2 linked regions of the Canis lupus familiaris genome follow. The protein of the gene in region 1 interacts with the protein of each later gene in a biochemical or structural test. Links are inferred from orthologs where the notes say so. Each region holds a gene or a part of one and is shown on either strand. Other genes may lie near its edges.

Region 1 (4,521 bases):
CTGCTGCTTACCTGCTGGATTTTTCAGGCACTGCATTTATAACCTTCTGAAACAATGTGTAGTTTCCCTATTTGGGGACAAATTCTATTCTTGTGAGCGTTATTAAATCTTGTTTGTAAATATGTTGACTTTCTCTTAATATTGGCCCTGAGTCTGGAGGAAACAGCTGTTCAGAGTGAGATAAACTCTTTAGGTTGTGCTGCTAATTATTATATATGCAATCGTGTCTTCTACTTTCAAATACCTGGAGTTCAGAGATACATCCTTCACTGTTTATGATGGATCCACCTGACAGCAGGAAAATCTAGGATGGGATCAAAGGGACACTGATATTTTTTGACTTTTACAGTCACCTGTTTTCACTAAGAAAGAGAAACAGTTTCTATCATTTTTAGGACTTAAGTATTAAATATGAAATGAATCCAACCTTCTTGTTTGTATTGTGTCTCCTTATACTAACACTAGGTAATGTGTTGTGAGCCTGGAGGTGGGGGTTGGTAGCTCAAAAGCAAAATTTGTTTACTGAGAGATTTTCTCTTCGAGTTTAAAAGACTTCGGCAGGCTCCAATCAGCTGGCTGTTGGGGGCAGTGCCCCCTGTGCTTTCATTTACCTGAGCACTTATACAAGTTGAGATGAGAAAAGAGCCAGTTTGGTTGACCTTTGGGCTGATTTTTAGAGTGGATGTTGTGGTTAGAGACTTTGGCTTGGAGTCTGAGCTGAGCCCTGTTCACAGCCTATTTTGCCCTTGGACAGATCTCTTTCCCTCTGAGCTTGTTTTCTCATCTGTAAAATGGAGACAGTGTTTTATTTTTGTATTTTTTCCTCCATTAAAATGCATGGTCAGTGAAGGCAGGAATCACATCTACCTCATTTTCTTAAATCCCCAAAGTCTAGTCCATAACCCGACACATGGGGAATCCTCAAAACCCTGAGTGAATGAGTGTAAGTAATTTTTCTGGAGAAATCTGAGGAACACGACCTCATCGAGGTGGTGAAGGTCAATAATAGTCATAAATCATGTTGCTGTATCATTCATATCATGTCATGAAAATAGCACCGTACCCACATCTAGAATGTTCCTCCCCAACGCTGTTGTCCCCAGTCTAATAATGAGAAAAACATCCCATCCCAACAGCGGGGTATCCTACAAAAAATTTGACCAACACTCCCCCAAAACTGCCAAGGTCATCAAAACCAAGGAGAGCTTGAGAAAGTCTCAGCCAAGGAGGAGACTAAGGAGACATGAGAACGAAATATAATGTATCGTGGATGGGATCCTAGCTCAGATACAGGACGTCAGGTAAAAACTTAAGGAAAACTGAACAAATTTTAGTTGTATCAATATAGGTTCATTATTTTAAATGAATATAACATACTAGTATGTTAATAAGAGAAATTACGTGGGAGGGCATACCTCGCTGTACTTACTCAACTTTTCCATATAGCTAAAATTGTTCCCAGAAAATAGGCTTACTTTTAAAATAGTGCCGCCCCCACCCCCGCGGCCTCCGGCGCTCAGGTGCTCGCCTCCCGGAAGCGGGAAGAAGGTTCCGCCCCACCCCGCACAAAGATGGCGACACGAGGAGGCCCGCCCCGCACAAAGATGGCGGCCGCGTCGGGGAGGAACCGGAAGCGCGGTCTGGCCGTAGCGCCGGTCCGCGGCAGCGCCAGAACGCGCGGGGCGGCGCGGGTCCGGGCATGAAGCTGGGCCGGGCCGTGCTGGGCCTGCTGCTGCTGGCGCCGTTGGCGGTGCGGGCGGTGGAGCCCATCAGCCTGGGACTGGCCCTGGCCGGCGTCCTCACCGGCTACATCTACCCGCGCCTCTACTGCCTCTTCACGGAGTGCTGCGGCCAGAAGCGGAGCCTCAGCCGGGAGGGTAGGGCGCGCGGGCGGCCGCGGGGCGGGGCGGGGCCGGGCCGGGGGATCGGGGGCCGCAGCCGGAGCGGCTCCCGGCCACGACTGGGGACGGGCCAGCGTTGGTCGCAGACCCGAGCAGGCGGGCTGCGGGCCGGGCCGCCTCCTCCGCCGAGAGTTTCGCTTCTTCCCAGCTGGGGCGGGAGGGGTGGTGGGAAGTGTCCGGGCGGCCCCCTCCTGCGCGGCGGGGCGGGGCGGGGCGGGGCGGGGCGGGGCGCGGCCTCCAGCCTCCAGCCTCCAGCCCCCCGCCCCCCGCGGCTCGCCGGGTGCTCCAGCAGCTTCTCCCGCCTCGCCCGCGGCCCCACGCGCCCTGTACGCGCCTCGGCCAGCTCGCGCCAGACACAGACACCCCCTCGCTGACTAGCTTTGTTTTTCCCAGCGCTGCAGAAGGATCTGGACAGCAAGCTCTTTGGACAGCATCTCGCAAAGAAAGTCATCTTAAATGCTGTGTCTGGCTTCATAAGCAACCCGAAGCCGAAGAAACCTCTCACCCTTTCTCTGCACGGGTGGACGGGCACGGGCAAAAATTTTGTCAGCAAGATCATCGCGGAGAATATTTACGAGGGAGGTCTGAACAGTGACTATGTCCACCTGTTTGTGGCCACGCTGCACTTTCCACATGCCTCCAACATCACCCTGTATAAGGCAAGAGCAGAATTTTGGAATCCTTCCTGGATGATGCAGGGTTGGGGGTTTCTTTGTTGTGGGGTAGGATTTGGGGATTGTGAGTTAGAATGAGTGAGCCCTGGGCAGCCCCGGTGGCACAGTGGTTTAGCGCCGCCTGCCTCCAGCCCGGCGGTCCCAGGCCTGGAGACCCAGGATCGAGTCCCACGTTGGGCTTCCTGCATGGAGCCTGCTTCTCCCTCTGCCTGTGTCTCTGCCTCTCTCTCTCTGTAACTATCATAAATAAATAAAAATTTTTAAAAAATTAAAAAAAAAAAGATTTATTTATTTATTCAGAGAGAGCGAGAGAGAGGCAGAGACACAGGCAGAGGGAGAAGCAGGCTCCATGCACCGGGAGCCCAATGTGGGATTCGATCCCGGGTCTCCAGGATCGTGCCCTTGGCCAAAGGCAGGCGCCAAACGGCTGCGCCACCCAGGGATCCCTAAATAAATCTTTAAAAAAAAAAAAAAAAAAAAAGAATGAGTGAGCCCTGAAGACGTCTACACGTGTGGGTTCCCCCTTTGAAAGGTGTGGAAGTTAGGAGGGTTTGACATGTATGGGGCGGTTATACCATCCAGGCTCTGCGGTGGTTGCTGAAAACGGCCCGGTATGATTCTCAGTCCAGTAAGTGGGGTTAGAGGTGAATGTCATTACGTCCAACCTAAGGAGCATCACATTTCACTCAGTGTGTAAAAGAGGACACATTTCTAGAAAGGCCTAAGGCTGTTTAGTTGAAGTGTTACAAACTGCTTTTACGGTTTAACTCACTGATTAATAACCTGGACTTTGGCGGCAGACACACCAGGTTGTGAGTCCTAACTCTCCCACCTGCCAGCTGTGTCATCTTGGGACTGAAGAAGCCTGGTGTGCACACAGGATACGTATTAACATCGCCATTTTAATGAGAAGGACCAGCAATTCAGTGACACGGCATCACTATGATATCCGCACAGCACAGGAATTATAATCAACGTGGGGCTTTGGAGTCAGGCAGGGCAGGGTTCAGATCCCAGCTCTACCACGTACTAATTTTGTAATCTTGGGCAAGATGATGAAGCTCTGTACCTCAGTCTCCTTATCTATAAAATGGGTATGATAACATGCGCTGCATGGAGTTGTGAGGAACCAAGGAGCTTGTGTGTAAAGTTCTTAGTACAGTGCTGAGCACGCAGTGAGCCTTCCGTAAACACGGCCATTGTGGAAACAGTTGTAGCGTTGACGCTTATGCCAGTTGTTTTCCATTGTACTTGCTGAGAACTTTGTGTTGGCTTTTCCCCTTTGTCACTCAAGGACCAGTTACAATTGTGGATACGTAGCAACGTGAGCGCCTGTGCCAGATCCATCTTCATATTCGATGAGATGGACAAGATGCATGCCGGCCTCATAGATGCCATCAAACCTTTCCTAGACTATTATGATCATGTGGATGGGGTTTCCTACCAGAAAGCCATCTTCATATTTCTCAGGTAAGGTCCAGGCCGGGACATGATTGAAGAACCCTGAGCCCAAGTCCGTGGGCTTCGGAACAAAGCCCAGTCCTCACTCACCGGCATTCTGTTGCAGCAATGCTGGAGCAGAAAGGATCACAGACGTGGCTTTGGACTTCTGGAGGAGTGGAAAGCAGAGGGAAGAGATCCGGCTCAAAGACATGGAGCCGGCCTTGTCTGTGTCAGCCTTCAATAACAAGAACAGTAAGTGCCCGCTTTTACTAACCTCTCTCATTCATGACTCTCTGTCACTAAGCTGTAGATCATTGGCATCACCGTGGCCCGGGAGCTGGCTAGAAATGCCACTTCTCAGTCCCTTCTTCAGACCTACTGAGGCAGAATTTCTTTTTTTTTTTTTTTTTTAATTTTTTTTTTAATTTTTATTTATTTATGATAGTCACAGAGAGAGAGAGAGATAGGCGCAGAGACACAGGCAGAGGGAGAAGCAGGCTCCA
Region 2 (4,446 bases), on another chromosome or scaffold:
TTCTCACCTATAAAATGGGTACATCTATCCTGCAGAGTTATGTGAATGAATTACCTTATACAAAGTGGCTGGTAATTCATAGCTATCAAGTATTCACCCCATCTTTTCTTGACATATGCCTGTATGGCTTAATTCAATAAATAATCTATAGAAAAGATTCACTGGAAATCTGGGTAAGTTATGATTTGGGACCCTTGATGAATCAGGCTATAATGTGTACATAAAAAAGAGCAGCTGGGACACCTGCGTGGATCAGTGGTTGAGCATCTGCCTTCTGCCCAGGAGTCCCGGGATCCAGTCCCGCATCAGGCTCCCCACCAGGAGCCTGCCTCTCCCTCTGCCTGTGTCTCTGCCTCTCTCTCTGTATCTCTCATGAATAAATAAATTAAGATCTTAAAAAAAAAAAAAAAAAAGCTGGCAGATAAGGCAAAAAACAATCGCTTTTCTTACCTGGAGTTTCTTGTATTCTCTGGATAGTTTTCTTCGGGACTGCTTGGCTTAAAATAGTTTGTGTAGATGGTTCATCCTCTAAAGAACAGACATTACATATGTCAAAATTCAAAACAGATTGACATTTGGGTCCAGATTATGCACCCTAACAGCAATATATAAACAGAAAGGCAAGTAATTCTTTAGAAATGTGTAATTAGGTCCACCAAAACTACTACTCTTAAAAATATAAACTATTCACCTTTGATGCTTTATAATAAAACCATATTAATTTAGAAATTTAAAAGATGGTCCAGAGTTTCAGAAACGTCGAAGAAAGCAGAAGTGTGCAAAATGTTTAAGATCCTTATAGATTTATTAAAACAGAAGTAAATCCTTTATGTATTAAAAAAGTCAGCTTCTATAACTGCAGGAGGATCTGTGCCAGAGTCAATACAATGTAACCTATTTGTTGCCTATCGTCGGCAAAGCGCTCTTCAGATACTGAAGGAGATGGAATTAACTTCAAATAGGATGGGATCCTTGTCCTCAGTAAGTTTCTAATTCTAAAAGAGAGATAGAACATACACATAGGCTAAAATGTCTGGAGTAAGCTCCACCCCATATTAAGTTAACATTTTCTTTAAAATAAAGTTTTCAAAATCAAGGCATCTTCAGATGTGTCAGTGCTGCATGGGTCAGCAGATACGAGCGTTGCCTACAGCTCTGCTGCGAGCTGAAGGTCCACTTCCTTCTTCCTATCTATCCATGGTCTACCACTAAGGATGCAATCACTTTGTGATTCAAACCCCCTGGATTTTTACCTCATTGGTGCCTTACGTGGGCCTCCCACGAAACTACACCCGTGATTCAGATAGGGGACAGGGAAGTGGGCGGGAGAGGATGGCTCAAGGGAGTTGCTTCACCTGTGCCTCACCTAATCCACACGCTCACTTTGCCAACATCCTTTCGGCCCATTTAGAGGAAAACTAACTCAGAATCTTCCTTGGTCAAGCTAAGTAACCCATGAGGTTGCATCGAAGCCCGCCCCCCCCCCCCCGCAAAAAAAAAAAAAAAAAACAAACACGTGGCGATTTTTTGCAGAGACCACCCTGCTTGAGAAAGAGCGATCAGCTCAAGTTTATCAGGCATTAGGGATCTTCAAGTTCAGGATAACTCGCCTTACCCCCACCTCGGTAGAAGTATTCGGGTGGGGTCTCAAGTCCATTTAAAAAACGGCGCGCTCCCTCCAAACGCCCACTCACCCAATTTCTCCCTCCTCCTCCCCCGACCTCGGTAGCGATGGAGAAAAGCCTGGGAGGCTACCCGAGAAGCATCACTCTCAGCTGGGGACTCGTGGCCTCTGAGAGTTAGAGGAAATGGAAGTGGCTTTGGTAGCAACATCCGCAGAACGGAGGGAACCGAAGTGAAAGCGAGCCTGGAGTGTCTCCCTGCCCGCTGGCCCCCCGAGCCGCCGTCACCCCCCTGCCCCCCGCCAAGGCCTGCAGAGAGAGGCGAGCCGGAGCCCCCTCCTCCCCCGCAGGCCGGTGCCCGGCGAGGCGCGGAGCTCGCCGCTCAGGTCGCGCCCCCGAGCCTCTGCAGCCCTCCCGCCTGCGTCCCCGCCCCGCCTGCGGGCGGTCGGGCGGTCGGTCGGTCGGTCGGGGGGCCCCCGCGCCGCGAGCCCCGGGAGCCCCGGCGGGATGAGCTGCGCGGCGAGGGGCTGCGAGGGGCTGCGCCGGGACGCACGCGCACACGCCCCGCCCCCGCCCGCGCGCTGCGCTCGCCCCCCGGCTCGCCGCGGACACTGCTCCCTCCGGCGGCCTCACTCACCGTCAGACGGATGAAAGTCCCGTAACCCTCTCCTGGTCGTCACCGGAGACGGTGACTGCTGCTGCTGCTGCTGCTGCTGCTGCTCCTGCAGGCGGGTCGCCCTTCGCGTGTTCATCTCCTCGGCTCCTTGGAGTCGCGGCTGCCTCCGCTGCCGAGACCGAAGGTAGTAGGCGCTTCCTCGCACTTCCCCTTTCGCAGACTCAGGCCGGAACTCTTCTAGCGAGAGCCGTCTTCTCCCCGGGGACTTTTCCTTGGCCACCGGGGGCTCGAAGTCGCCGTACACTTCTGGCGGCTCTTCCGAGAACCTCACTTCCCGCCGGCCGTGGCGCGACGGCGAAGGAGTCCCGTACGCAGGCGCGTCACTGCCGCCGCCATTTTGAGGGGCGAGCCGGCGCCTTCCCTCCCGTAGGGGGGCGCGGGGTGTGACGTACATCCGCCAGCCTTCCCTCCCCGGCTCCGCCCGCCGCCCGTCGCCCGCCATAGTTGTTGACGTAGCTTGAGGCGATCGCGAAGGTGGTTTGCGGAGCGGGGGGGCGCGTCGGTCGGTTCTCCTGGCGTTGGTGGCGATGGCTGTTGCGAGGGTGTGGTTGCGGCGGTCAGGGAGGCAGTTGAGAGGCGCCGGGGCCGCCGCCTGCGTCGTCGCTGCCGTGCTGCGAAGCCGCCTCTGGGCCCATGGCTTGTCCTGAGGGCTGTGGGAGAGGCAGTGCCGATGCCGGGTCAGCTGCTGCGGGTCACTCCCGCCTCCTGGCTGAAGGCACCAAAGAGGAGGAGAAGCGGGAGGACGACGTCGCTGTCCTTGGCCTGGGGGGAGGGGACAGCCGGCAGCGCGGATTGCCTCCCCGGCCCCAGCGGCTCCGGCCGCCGCTGCCCGCACGCGGGAGGCGCGGGTGCTGCCCGCCGCCCCCGAGCCCCCCGGGAAGGCCCGCCGAGCGAGAGTCGGGTGCCCAGCTTGGAGTCCTCGCCGCCCCGGAGTCGTTCTGATTTGACCGCTGCCTTAGCCCTGCCTTTCCAAGTGTTTCTATAGGAGTCTTCATGAAGATAACTTCTGCCAATGCTGCCTTTTCCTGGGGGGAGGCGGGTGGGGGGGGGGGGTGGAAAGAAATTGTGGGATTTAATTCTTCTCGGAGAAACTGCTGCGACGATCGGTACACTGAGTGATGCCTGGCCTTTCTTTAACGATTTCTTTTATAAGGTGCCTGTTACTGTGGCTCACTCTTAAACATCATAAAAGCCTCATAATGTCATCATTAAAGGATGTGAACCTTTGTAGTGCCGATGTGCAAAGTGCACGTTATGAACGTTATTAGCGCATGTTAAGGGATCTCTTTAAAACATTAACCGGTGCAGTTTTGTGTGTGTGTGTGTGTGTGTGTGTGTGTGTGTGTGTAGAAGCTGGGCTACAAACTTGCGGAACTCCGGTTTTTGGGGACATCTTTAAAAAGAAAGGACAAGCGGTTCTACTACGTGTTGCTGAGCAGAGAAGATGATGTTCGTATTATTGTGAATAGTCCGTTCACTGCGTTACACAGGATTCTTGTAAAGGCTCAGGAAGGAAACTTACGGGTTTGGCTTTCCCAAGAAACAAATGAGGAATCTCGAAATCAGAGGCACGATGACTTTAACACCTACATATTGCTTAGGGTTTTCCCCCTCTTTAGGTAATAAGAATGCATAATTCTAGCGCTGCCGTTCCTGCCTCCCACACCTAGCAACGTTACAAATACCAGCCCTGATCACTTTAACTTTGAGGTAAAGCTAAACTCTTGTCAAACCAGATTTTCTGCTGTAGATGTTTTCTAAACTCTAAGGGTGGCCCCAAAGACGTGACGTTAGAGGCAGTGGATTCGTAGCCAATAGCGTAAGAGGCTTGCAGGTCATCAGTACCGGGAAGAGGCATGAGCTCTGGATGTTAGACAATTAGTTTGGGAATTTGAAAAATACAGAGGAATTAAGTGGATCACAAGACAGGTAAGAGAATCCAGTACCTATACCTATGTTGGCACAGAATAGGTGTTCGATAGATGTATACATTAAGTTAATATGTATTCTTTACTCTTAGGGAATTTGCCTTTTATTAGGGAAAGACCTATACAAAAAAATCAGATTAAATGGCTGGCATCAATTTATATACTTAGCTGTTGTGCCTAGGTCTAGAAATCCAGTGTTGGTGACACTGGATTTTTTTTT

What was found.
Region 2: the proteins of TOR1A (region 1) and TOR1AIP1 form a complex in vitro, tested with the Homo sapiens proteins (2 studies listed by BioGRID and IntAct). The link is inferred for Canis lupus familiaris from reciprocal best matches to the Homo sapiens genes TOR1A and TOR1AIP1.

The regions. Positions count from the first base shown.
Region 1 is NC_049230.1:54,106,043-54,110,563, forward strand, and holds the start of TOR1A (torsin-1A), read left to right. Parts: upstream 1-1,641; 5' UTR 1,642-1,699; coding exon 1,700-1,877; intron 1,878-2,294; coding exon 2,295-2,560; intron 2,561-3,869; coding exon 3,870-4,045; intron 4,046-4,142; coding exon 4,143-4,270; intron 4,271-4,521. UniProt on the Homo sapiens protein: Protein with chaperone functions important for the control of protein folding, processing, stability and localization as well as for the reduction of misfolded protein aggregates.
Region 2 is NC_049228.1:13,320,784-13,325,229, reverse strand, and holds the start of TOR1AIP1 (torsin-1A-interacting protein 1), read right to left. Parts: upstream 3,101-4,446; 5' UTR 2,741-3,100; coding exon 2,260-2,740; exon of another isoform or gene 2,258-2,259; intron 529-2,257; coding exon 451-528; intron 1-450. UniProt on the Homo sapiens protein: Required for nuclear membrane integrity. Induces TOR1A and TOR1B ATPase activity and is required for their location on the nuclear membrane. Binds to A- and B-type lamins. Possible role in membrane attachment and assembly of the nuclear lamina.